Linked DNA regions of Alligator mississippiensis. The protein of the gene in region 2 binds, or shares a complex with, the protein of the main gene of each other region. Links are inferred from orthologs where the notes say so. Each region holds a gene or a part of one and is shown on either strand. Other genes may lie near its edges.

What was found.
Region 1: the proteins of FLT3 (region 2) and FLT3LG are in contact, whole or in part, in a crystal structure (PDB 7QDP), measured with the Homo sapiens proteins. The link is inferred for Alligator mississippiensis from reciprocal best matches to the Homo sapiens genes FLT3 and FLT3LG. Residues at the interface, in NP_004110.2 of Homo sapiens: Asp180, His279, Gly280, Phe281, Gly282, Met300, Ser301, Thr302, Tyr303, Asn306, Arg307, Met309, Arg311, Ser333; in NP_001191431.1 of Homo sapiens: His34, Ser35, Pro36, Ile37, Ser38, Ser39, Asp40, Lys44, Lys87, Glu99, Asn102, Thr103, Glu104, His106, Phe107.

What each region holds. Positions count from the first base shown.
Region 1 is NC_081828.1:39,620,432-39,624,341, reverse strand, and holds the start of FLT3LG (fms-related tyrosine kinase 3 ligand), read right to left. Parts: upstream 2,880-3,910; 5' UTR 2,349-2,879; intron 1,864-2,348; 5' UTR 1,807-1,863; coding exon 1,753-1,806; intron 1,645-1,752; coding exon 1,534-1,644; intron 1,241-1,533; coding exon 1,187-1,240; intron 1,095-1,186; coding exon 951-1,094; intron 759-950; coding exon 608-758; intron 1-607. UniProt on the Homo sapiens protein: Stimulates the proliferation of early hematopoietic cells by activating FLT3. Synergizes well with a number of other colony stimulating factors and interleukins. Required for the development of B cells, and dendritic cells (DCs).
Region 2 is NC_081824.1:427,830,540-427,834,449, forward strand, and holds the start of FLT3 (receptor-type tyrosine-protein kinase FLT3), read left to right. Parts: upstream 1-1,336; 5' UTR 1,337-1,372; coding exon 1,373-1,427; intron 1,428-3,910. UniProt on the Homo sapiens protein: Tyrosine-protein kinase that acts as a cell-surface receptor for the cytokine FLT3LG and regulates differentiation, proliferation and survival of hematopoietic progenitor cells and of dendritic cells.

The DNA.
Region 1 (3,910 bases), on a different chromosome or scaffold from region 2:
GGGGTCACATATACTGGACACTCAGGGAGGTGGTGGAGTAAGAGGTGATAGGAACATCCTTGTGGTGGGGGGTGTGGATTTGGGGGGGTTCAGTGTGGGAAGCAACTTCTCCCAGGTCTCTGAGAGGTGCAGTTGATGGGGGGGGGGGCGGAATCTTAGGGTTATCTGAAGTAGGGTCAGAGGAAGGCTGAGGGGCTGTGGAAGCTCAGTGGGGCTGGGGGTCCTGCAGTTTGGGGACAGAGAAATGGGGGGGGGGTGAGGGCCAGGGAATACCAAGCTTAGTTTGGTGGGGTTCAGAGTCTAGGGGAGACAGGGGTAGGGCTGTAGGGGGACAGGCCTCTGCAGGGCAACGAGGTAGTGGGAGTGGGTTCTGGGTGGTCCGTGGCCTGGGGTTAACTGTGGGGTGGAGGGAGCAGGGGGAGGGGCTAAGGGCTCAGTGGGGTAGTTTTAGGGGGCAGGAGGATCAAGGAAGGGGTTCATGGGTACTGAAGTTTGGAGGTCCCAGATTTGGGGGTTCAAGGTGGGTTGAGAGCTGGGGTACTGGGCACTGAGGTCTGGGGGGCCCAGGATTTAGGGCTGGATCCCAGGCTACCGAGGCGGGACGTACCTGTCCGGCAGCGCACATAGGTGCAGTTGCTCATCGTCACAGGCCATGGCTCCTGCTGCCACCGTGTCTCCAGCTCTCCCATGTGGTAGCTCAGGGCGCCCAGCAGCTGCGACACATTGGTCTGCCCCTGCCGTGTACAGCCTAGGGGGTCCTGCAGAGTGGGGCGAGGGGGTCACAGGCTCAGCCACCCCCCAACAGGCACCCACAGCCCCTGTACTCCCTCTCTTCAACCAAACAACATGCCCCCAGCCCCACCAATGGTCCCCAGACCCCCTCAAGCTTACTAGTGCCCCCTCACAACCCCACTGAGGGTACCCACCCCCCATGCCTTCCCCTGCCCTACACTGATGTTGCAGTCCTGGAGGAAGTGGATCTGTCTGGCCACGGTCTGGATCTTGGGGTTCAGGCTGCGCCCTGCGACCTGCTCCATGTGCCTTAGCTCAGCCGCCACAAAGTGGATCACCCAGAAGTCGTAGCACCAGAGGTCCTGGAGGGGAGAGATGGGGAGATGAGATGTGGCACAGGATGAGGAGGGAGCAGGCAGGGAGGTGGGGGGCATGGGTGCCCCCTGGATCTCACCGGCTCCAGGTTGGAGGGCAACAAGACGGGGTAGTCCAGGAGCAGCAGCTGGGTCTGGGGAGGGGAAAAAAAGTGTGGGGGGGGTAAGTGGGGGGGGGACTGGGAATAGGGGGGCTGCTTGGGAGTCCCTCTTCACCCTGGCAGATTTGGAGGCTCCAGAAGAGGTGAGCAGGGACACCTGGGGGGTATGGGGATTGGGGGTGCTGGGAGTGTGGCAGAAGGGGCCCCAGGTGGAAGCTGCCCATGACTGGGCTGGGGACTGGCATGGGGGTGTCAGAGGTGACTTTGGGGGCGGGGTGGGGGGTTTCTGGAAGGAGAGGGAGCTGTGGTGGGGCCCTGGCTCTTACCAGTTCTTCTATGTCTCTGGTTAAGGTGGTGCTGAAAGGATCGTGTTCGAAGATGCAGCCTTGCCCAGGGGGGGCCAGAGCCAGCAGCAGCAGCAGCAGCAGCAGGGGAGCCTGTTGAGGTGGAAGGATGAGCTGGGAGCACCCCTCACCCACGACCAGCCCCTCCCCTCAAACCTCCCCAGGCTCATCCCATATCCTCTTCCCCTCCCCACAACTTACCACAGAGGCACTGGGCAGGGACTGGGGGTCCGGGGGTGCATGGCACCAAGTCATCTCCACGTCAAGGGGTGGGCGGCCGGCATGCCGGGGGGCTCCCTCAAGCGGGGGCAGCTGTGGGGCAACACAGGTCACTGGTTAGGGGGCTGGCTGTTGAAATGAGGGGCACGGGCCTGGTTAGAGGGACAGAGGTGGGAGAGGAAAAGGGGCTGCGGGTCAGAAGTAAGGGCCACCAGCAAGGCTAGGGAGACGGGGCTGCAGGTTGGGATTGACGGGCACCAGCAGGGCTGGGGAGGGGCAGGAGGTAGAGGGCCCGGGTGGGGGGGGCAAAGATAGGCTTCCAGAGGGCTATTGGTTGGAAAGAAGCGGGGGTGGGGGTAGAGACAGGCCTAGGAGAGGACAGGGGCTGCAGGTTGGGAGTGAGGGGCACCAGCAGGGCTGGCAAAGGGCAGACCACTGAGCACTGCGGGTCGGGATGAGGGGCACGGGCAGGGCTTGGTCGGGGGGAGGGGTATGGGGGCAGGACACACTACCTCCTCCCACCCCGATCTGCACCCCAACCCCACTGGCAGGGGCCGCGGACTGCCCCCAGTTCTTACCTGAGCAGTGGGGGGGGGGCTCTGGGGAAGGGGGGGCTTCTCCGAGCCCCCCCAGGCGCTGCCGCCCGCTGCCCCAAGCCAGGCCGCCACCGAAAGTGAAAGTGGCCGGGACCGGCGGGGGCGGAGCGGGCGGACCCCCCGGGCTGGGGGGCAGGATCCCTGCACGGGGTGGGGGGATCTGGGTCTGGCTGGGGCAGAGGGGGGCGATGGGGTCCTGGCGCCCCCCGCCCGGCTCTACCTGCCCTCCATCCTCCCAGCCCTGCCCGCGCCCCACCTAGCCTGGGCAAATATTGAATCCGGCCCCGTGCCGGGCACTGGGCATCCGGGATCGTGGCCCAGCCCTGCTCGTGCCCCGCACCGCGGACTCGAAGCCCCCTGCCCCCTCTCCCCAGCCCTGCCGCTGCCCCTCACTCCCGACCCGCAATCCCCTGACCAGCCTGAAGACTACATAGGTGCTCCCTACCCCCCGGGGAGAAGGCCGTGCCACGGGATGGGGGCACTGCCAGAGAGGTTGTTCACTACTCCAGGGGCCTGCACCCAGGGCTGAGGGGAATAGAGTCTGATGTCCCCGAGGCCGAGTGCCAGGGTACAGCCCACCCCGCAGTGACCCCCCCCCCTTCTCCCAGCCCCACTCGTAAAGGGCTGGGAGCAGCATGTGCTCGCTGCGGTCTCAGCATCCTGTGGGTCCCAGAGCTCAGAGCGTCTCTATGGAAACCGTGGCCGGATGCCCCGACCATGTACAGCACCTTGCACACAGCCGTGGGGAGGTGGCAACCTGCTGGGGGTAGGGGGGAGGGGGTGGAAGGAGCAGGAGCTGGGCCCTGGGCTGGCTAGTGCCCCTTGACAAGCAGGGGGAAGGACAGGGGGATTGAGTCGGGGATTGAGGCAGGGATTGAGGGATTGTCTAAACCCCCAGCCCAGGAGCAAACCCAGGCATTCAGGTGCCAGCCCTGCCCCCTCAGCCACCAAACTGATACACTAGTTTCCACTCCCCCCCACCCTCCCATCCCAGAGAGAACCCAGGCATTCAGATTCCTACCCCCCTCATCCCCCAGCTCTCCCCAGAGCTGGGAGAGAACCCAGGTGTCCAGGCTCCCATCCCATCCCCATGACCCCCTCACCCTCTACATATAGGGCCCCTTGGCCCAGATCCCCCTCCCCCACCAGGGACACCCTCCCTACAGTCACCCCACCCAGGGCCAGTCCAACCATTAGGTGAACTAGGCAGTCACCTAAGGTGCCAAAATATGGGGGGGGGCACCAAAATTATATGCAGAACAAAATAACAGGAACATCATTCTGAATAAGAGCCCTGGCCAGCTATGGCTCCACCTTGGTCTAAGACCTTTGGTTCTGTAAGGGGAGAAAGACCTCTGAGAAGATCTCAAAAGTAAAAGTTCATTCTGGACTTATTTTCCTCTGTATTGGAAGTGGTGGGGGCTCCAAGGTACACAGTCTGCCTAGGATGCCAATTACCCTTAGACTGGCCCTGACCCCCCACCCCTCCAAGGCCCCCCAACCCCTATATCACCCACTGAGATACCCGCACTAGGCCCCCTGTC
Region 2 (3,910 bases):
TTTCTCATTGACATTATTCACAGTTACTAGCTATCCTTTTGTTTGCAGTCAGTAAAAGTGGTATCGTGCATTTGGAAGGCACTCAAGCATCAGTCTTTAGAGCTGGATCCGCTATCTGTCCTCACTGCATCCAGTAGTCAGGACTGAAAGTTGGTCATGGTAGCTGAAAGGGTTCACTTGCATCCCCACTAAAGTTGTTAAAGTCCCACTGTATTATAACATGGGAGTCCTACTCAGGACAAGTAGCTTTAATTAATTAAATGCATCTCTTCAGACATAGCCAATAGAAGTGCCCTATACTGGTCATTTATGTATGTAGTACCCTCCCCGCACCATTTCATGTATGTTGGGAGGACTGAGTGACAAAGCATGTGTAAAAAAAGATCTGGGAATGAGATTTAGAGACTAGAACAGGACTACTATGAACTAACAACAAGGAGCTCTTCACTCCAATCTTGGATGAGCCCCTTACTCATGTGGCTTTTTTGTACCCTAAACAACGTAGCTGTAAAGCAGGCCACAATAGGTGCTCACAGCTGCTGTAGCTAAGTTTGAGCTTTCCTGTGGAAATTAATAGCTCCCCTCCATGACATACAGACAAGCCTCAAACTGTTTCTGTACTCCAGTTCCAGCTCCACTTTCATTGGTAGCAAATTTCTCTGTGACACTAAAAACGTAAGTCTGGGTACTTCTCACTACAAGATCTGAACTAAGGAGGTTTGCCAATAGTTACAGACAAACAAAATCTTAGTCATTTAAAGGGAAATACACTCTTTTCCTCCAGTGCTGGTAAATGCCACTGTATATTCCCATGAGGCATTTAGAACCACATTTGGATTTTTTTTATATTTCCCTCTTTCAGGCTGATGCCACTGTTTAAAAGTAGCAGCCCACTGTCAAGTCCAAAAACTTAAATGAACTTTCAGCCATTGCCTGCATATAGAAGTAGCATCTGCTTCCAAAACAGGAATCAGAATTACATAGGAAAAAAGCCAGTTCTGCCCAATCTGCAATAATTTATCCACATTTATGAGCTATGAATTAAGAGAATGTAAGCAACAGAACTACAGTAGTAGTAATAGATACCTAGTCTGGCTTGCGTAATACAGTCCTTTCTGCAAGGATCCTGACAGCAGAAGGAAGAGGTTCCCTGACCCCAAAAGAGGCCTCTTATTCTCTCCCTTGTACAGCCGTTTCCTTCAGGTTCGGTCTCGGCTGAACACGTCCTTGGGCCCTCAGTTTTTTGAAGAAGTGGTTTTATTGTGGTTCAGTGACGTATGCCTTGAGAGCCACCTGCAGCACTCGTTTCACTCACTAGGGTCTCAGGATTGCAGACTTCAGTCCGGCAGGGCAGCTTCTAGTACCATCAACCATGAGTGCACACCAGCCCGGCACCTGTGCTACCAGAAACCCACTTCGGTTGCTTGGTAAGGGCATATACAGTATACAGTCTCCTCTGCTCCCTTACTACTTAGTCCTTTCTCATTCCTACATTCCAACTTTCTCCCCTCATTCTTTTCTTCTCTTTCCCTCTTTTTCAGCTCTTTCTTTTTCTTCTCCTTCTCTTTCTCACCTTTCTTTTCTCTTTCTTGGGTGCTAATCTCTCTTATCTCTCTTTTACACCTCTTGTGTCTCCTACCTTCCCTAGTCCCTTTAGGCTTTTGCATCCATATATATAAAGGCGGGGGGAGGAGGAGGGAGTTCAAACTAATGTTTTAGGTGTTGTTTTCCAGTGTAAAGAATGTTAATGTTGACCTACCCTGATTGTCTTAGGCAATATAAAAGCAATTTTTTAGATAACTTTCCTATGGAAAACCCTGGCAATAAGCTCTAAAAGTGAATCTGTGCATTTTTTGCTGTTATATTGGGTAGGTAAGTTTTGTTCAATGGTGAAAATGGAATAACAAATGCTTCTGGTTTGTTCATTGCTATGATGACATTCCACTTTTCATGACTCGGTTTCCCCAAGAATATACAAATTCATAAAGATTTAGCAGTTAGGAGAAATGGAGACCACAGTTATTCTGAATAAGATGCCCACTGAGGTATTTTCCTTTGACTCTAAAATAAGCTGCTTGCTGACGTAAACATGTAGTTTGTTAAAAAATCAGGACTGAAAACTAGCGGAGGAGGGGGGTTCTGACTGCCATATATGACTGGGAAAGTCACTTTGTGGCTTAATTTCACCAAGGGATAACAACTTTTGTGTGCTTCACAGAACTGTTATTAGAGATCCTCATCCATGTTTGTAAAGCCCTGATTTTGAGATCTTTGGAGGAAAGATGGAGTAGGAATAAAAACTCTTCTTTTGCGATATCCTGCTTCAAATGACTCTAATGAAACTGCTACTGAAACATATCATGTCAAAGATGTATTTTGGTGCATTTTCTTCTTAGAAATCAAAGGATCTAAACAAGCAACCATTGTGATAGTCTTAAATAGCCCACTGAAAAGTAAGCATTAATTATCATTGTCTGTATTACAACAGTGCTGATAGGCCCTCCTTGAGATCAGGGCCACCTTGTGCTAAGTATTGCACAAAGGCAGACTGTGCCCTGAAGAACTTACCTTCTAAACAGACAAAGGGTGGGGGACAGGAGGACAGTTGTTCTTGGTTGTATTGCTGCTCATTGTGGAGATGTTTGATTTAGCCATTCAGAAATGTAGCAGAAATCAGAAGCCTTGTCATTTCTATGGAAATTACTGGCTTCATACACTTATACATACATTTTTTTAATACAACTGTTTATGGGTTTAATGAGAGATACTGACATTCTTTAAAATGAAGTAACATTTTCCCTGAGATTATGTCAAGGTTCTTCATTATTCCACTGAGATGTGAACTGAACACAAGTAATGTAGAAGATCCTAGGCTAACAGACTTTATCCAGCTGATATAATATTGTCAGCAGAAAACCATGCACTTATCCAGAAAAAGAAAAACTACATTGAAACTCTCCAGAACTGAGACAAGTATGACTACACAAAGTTAAGGCTCCCTCTCTGTCTTTACTTATAGGTCTGCAGTTGTAAAAATCTCAGCACAAACCATGTTTTACACGTGTTTATTGCTGCAAAAGTCAAGTATCAATAGTATGGAGAGAGATCCTGGTAACGTTATAAACCAGCGCTTGTTTGTTTCTCTTACGGTTTTTCTGGCCACCCTCACCAGATGAGATGTCTGTGTTTACAGCTAATTTACCTAGCGTGAAAATAAACCTTACTTTCACAAACCCTGCTGGCAAAATACAGGGAGGTGATGGAATCCAGCTCCCTTCCTCAACCTCATACTTTAGGTTATGACTGGAAAAGCATTCTCTGCTCCTGTGTATCACTTATGGAGATGCATAATCGCTGATCTTGAGGCTGTCTCTAGTGCCAAACTGAACTGGTTTCTTGTAGCTTTACCAATAGACCTCTCCATGGTGCCCCAGTTAAGAAGATTATTTATAAGGAAGTAGTGCTTGTGCTGGCCCTCATTAAGGTGCATTCTGCCTGTAACAAATTGGCTTGTTTCATTTATCTGTGTAACATTCAGTTTCTACCACAGCCATTCCAGTCTATTCCAGTCCTGCAGAATCCTACAGCTACAGGACAAGTTAGAGAAATCCAGTTATGAGTTTCTGGCTTAGGTTAAAATCCTGCAATGAAGCCGAGGGAAATTTTACTTGAGTAAGGACAGCAAGTTCATGCCTTAACAGGCTCTAGACCAGACTGCAATTTGTCTGACTGCTAAGAGGCAGTAACTCAAATCAGAGAGCACATAGAACTCAAAGCTCAAGTGTGCCAGAAATGTGATTGGAGTACCAGAAATGAATTCTCCTGAGAATGGAGAATTCATTTCTGCTTTTTAAACAGATAACAGAGAAGAAACTTAAGAGCTAGCTTTCTTCTGAATTTTCAATCCCAC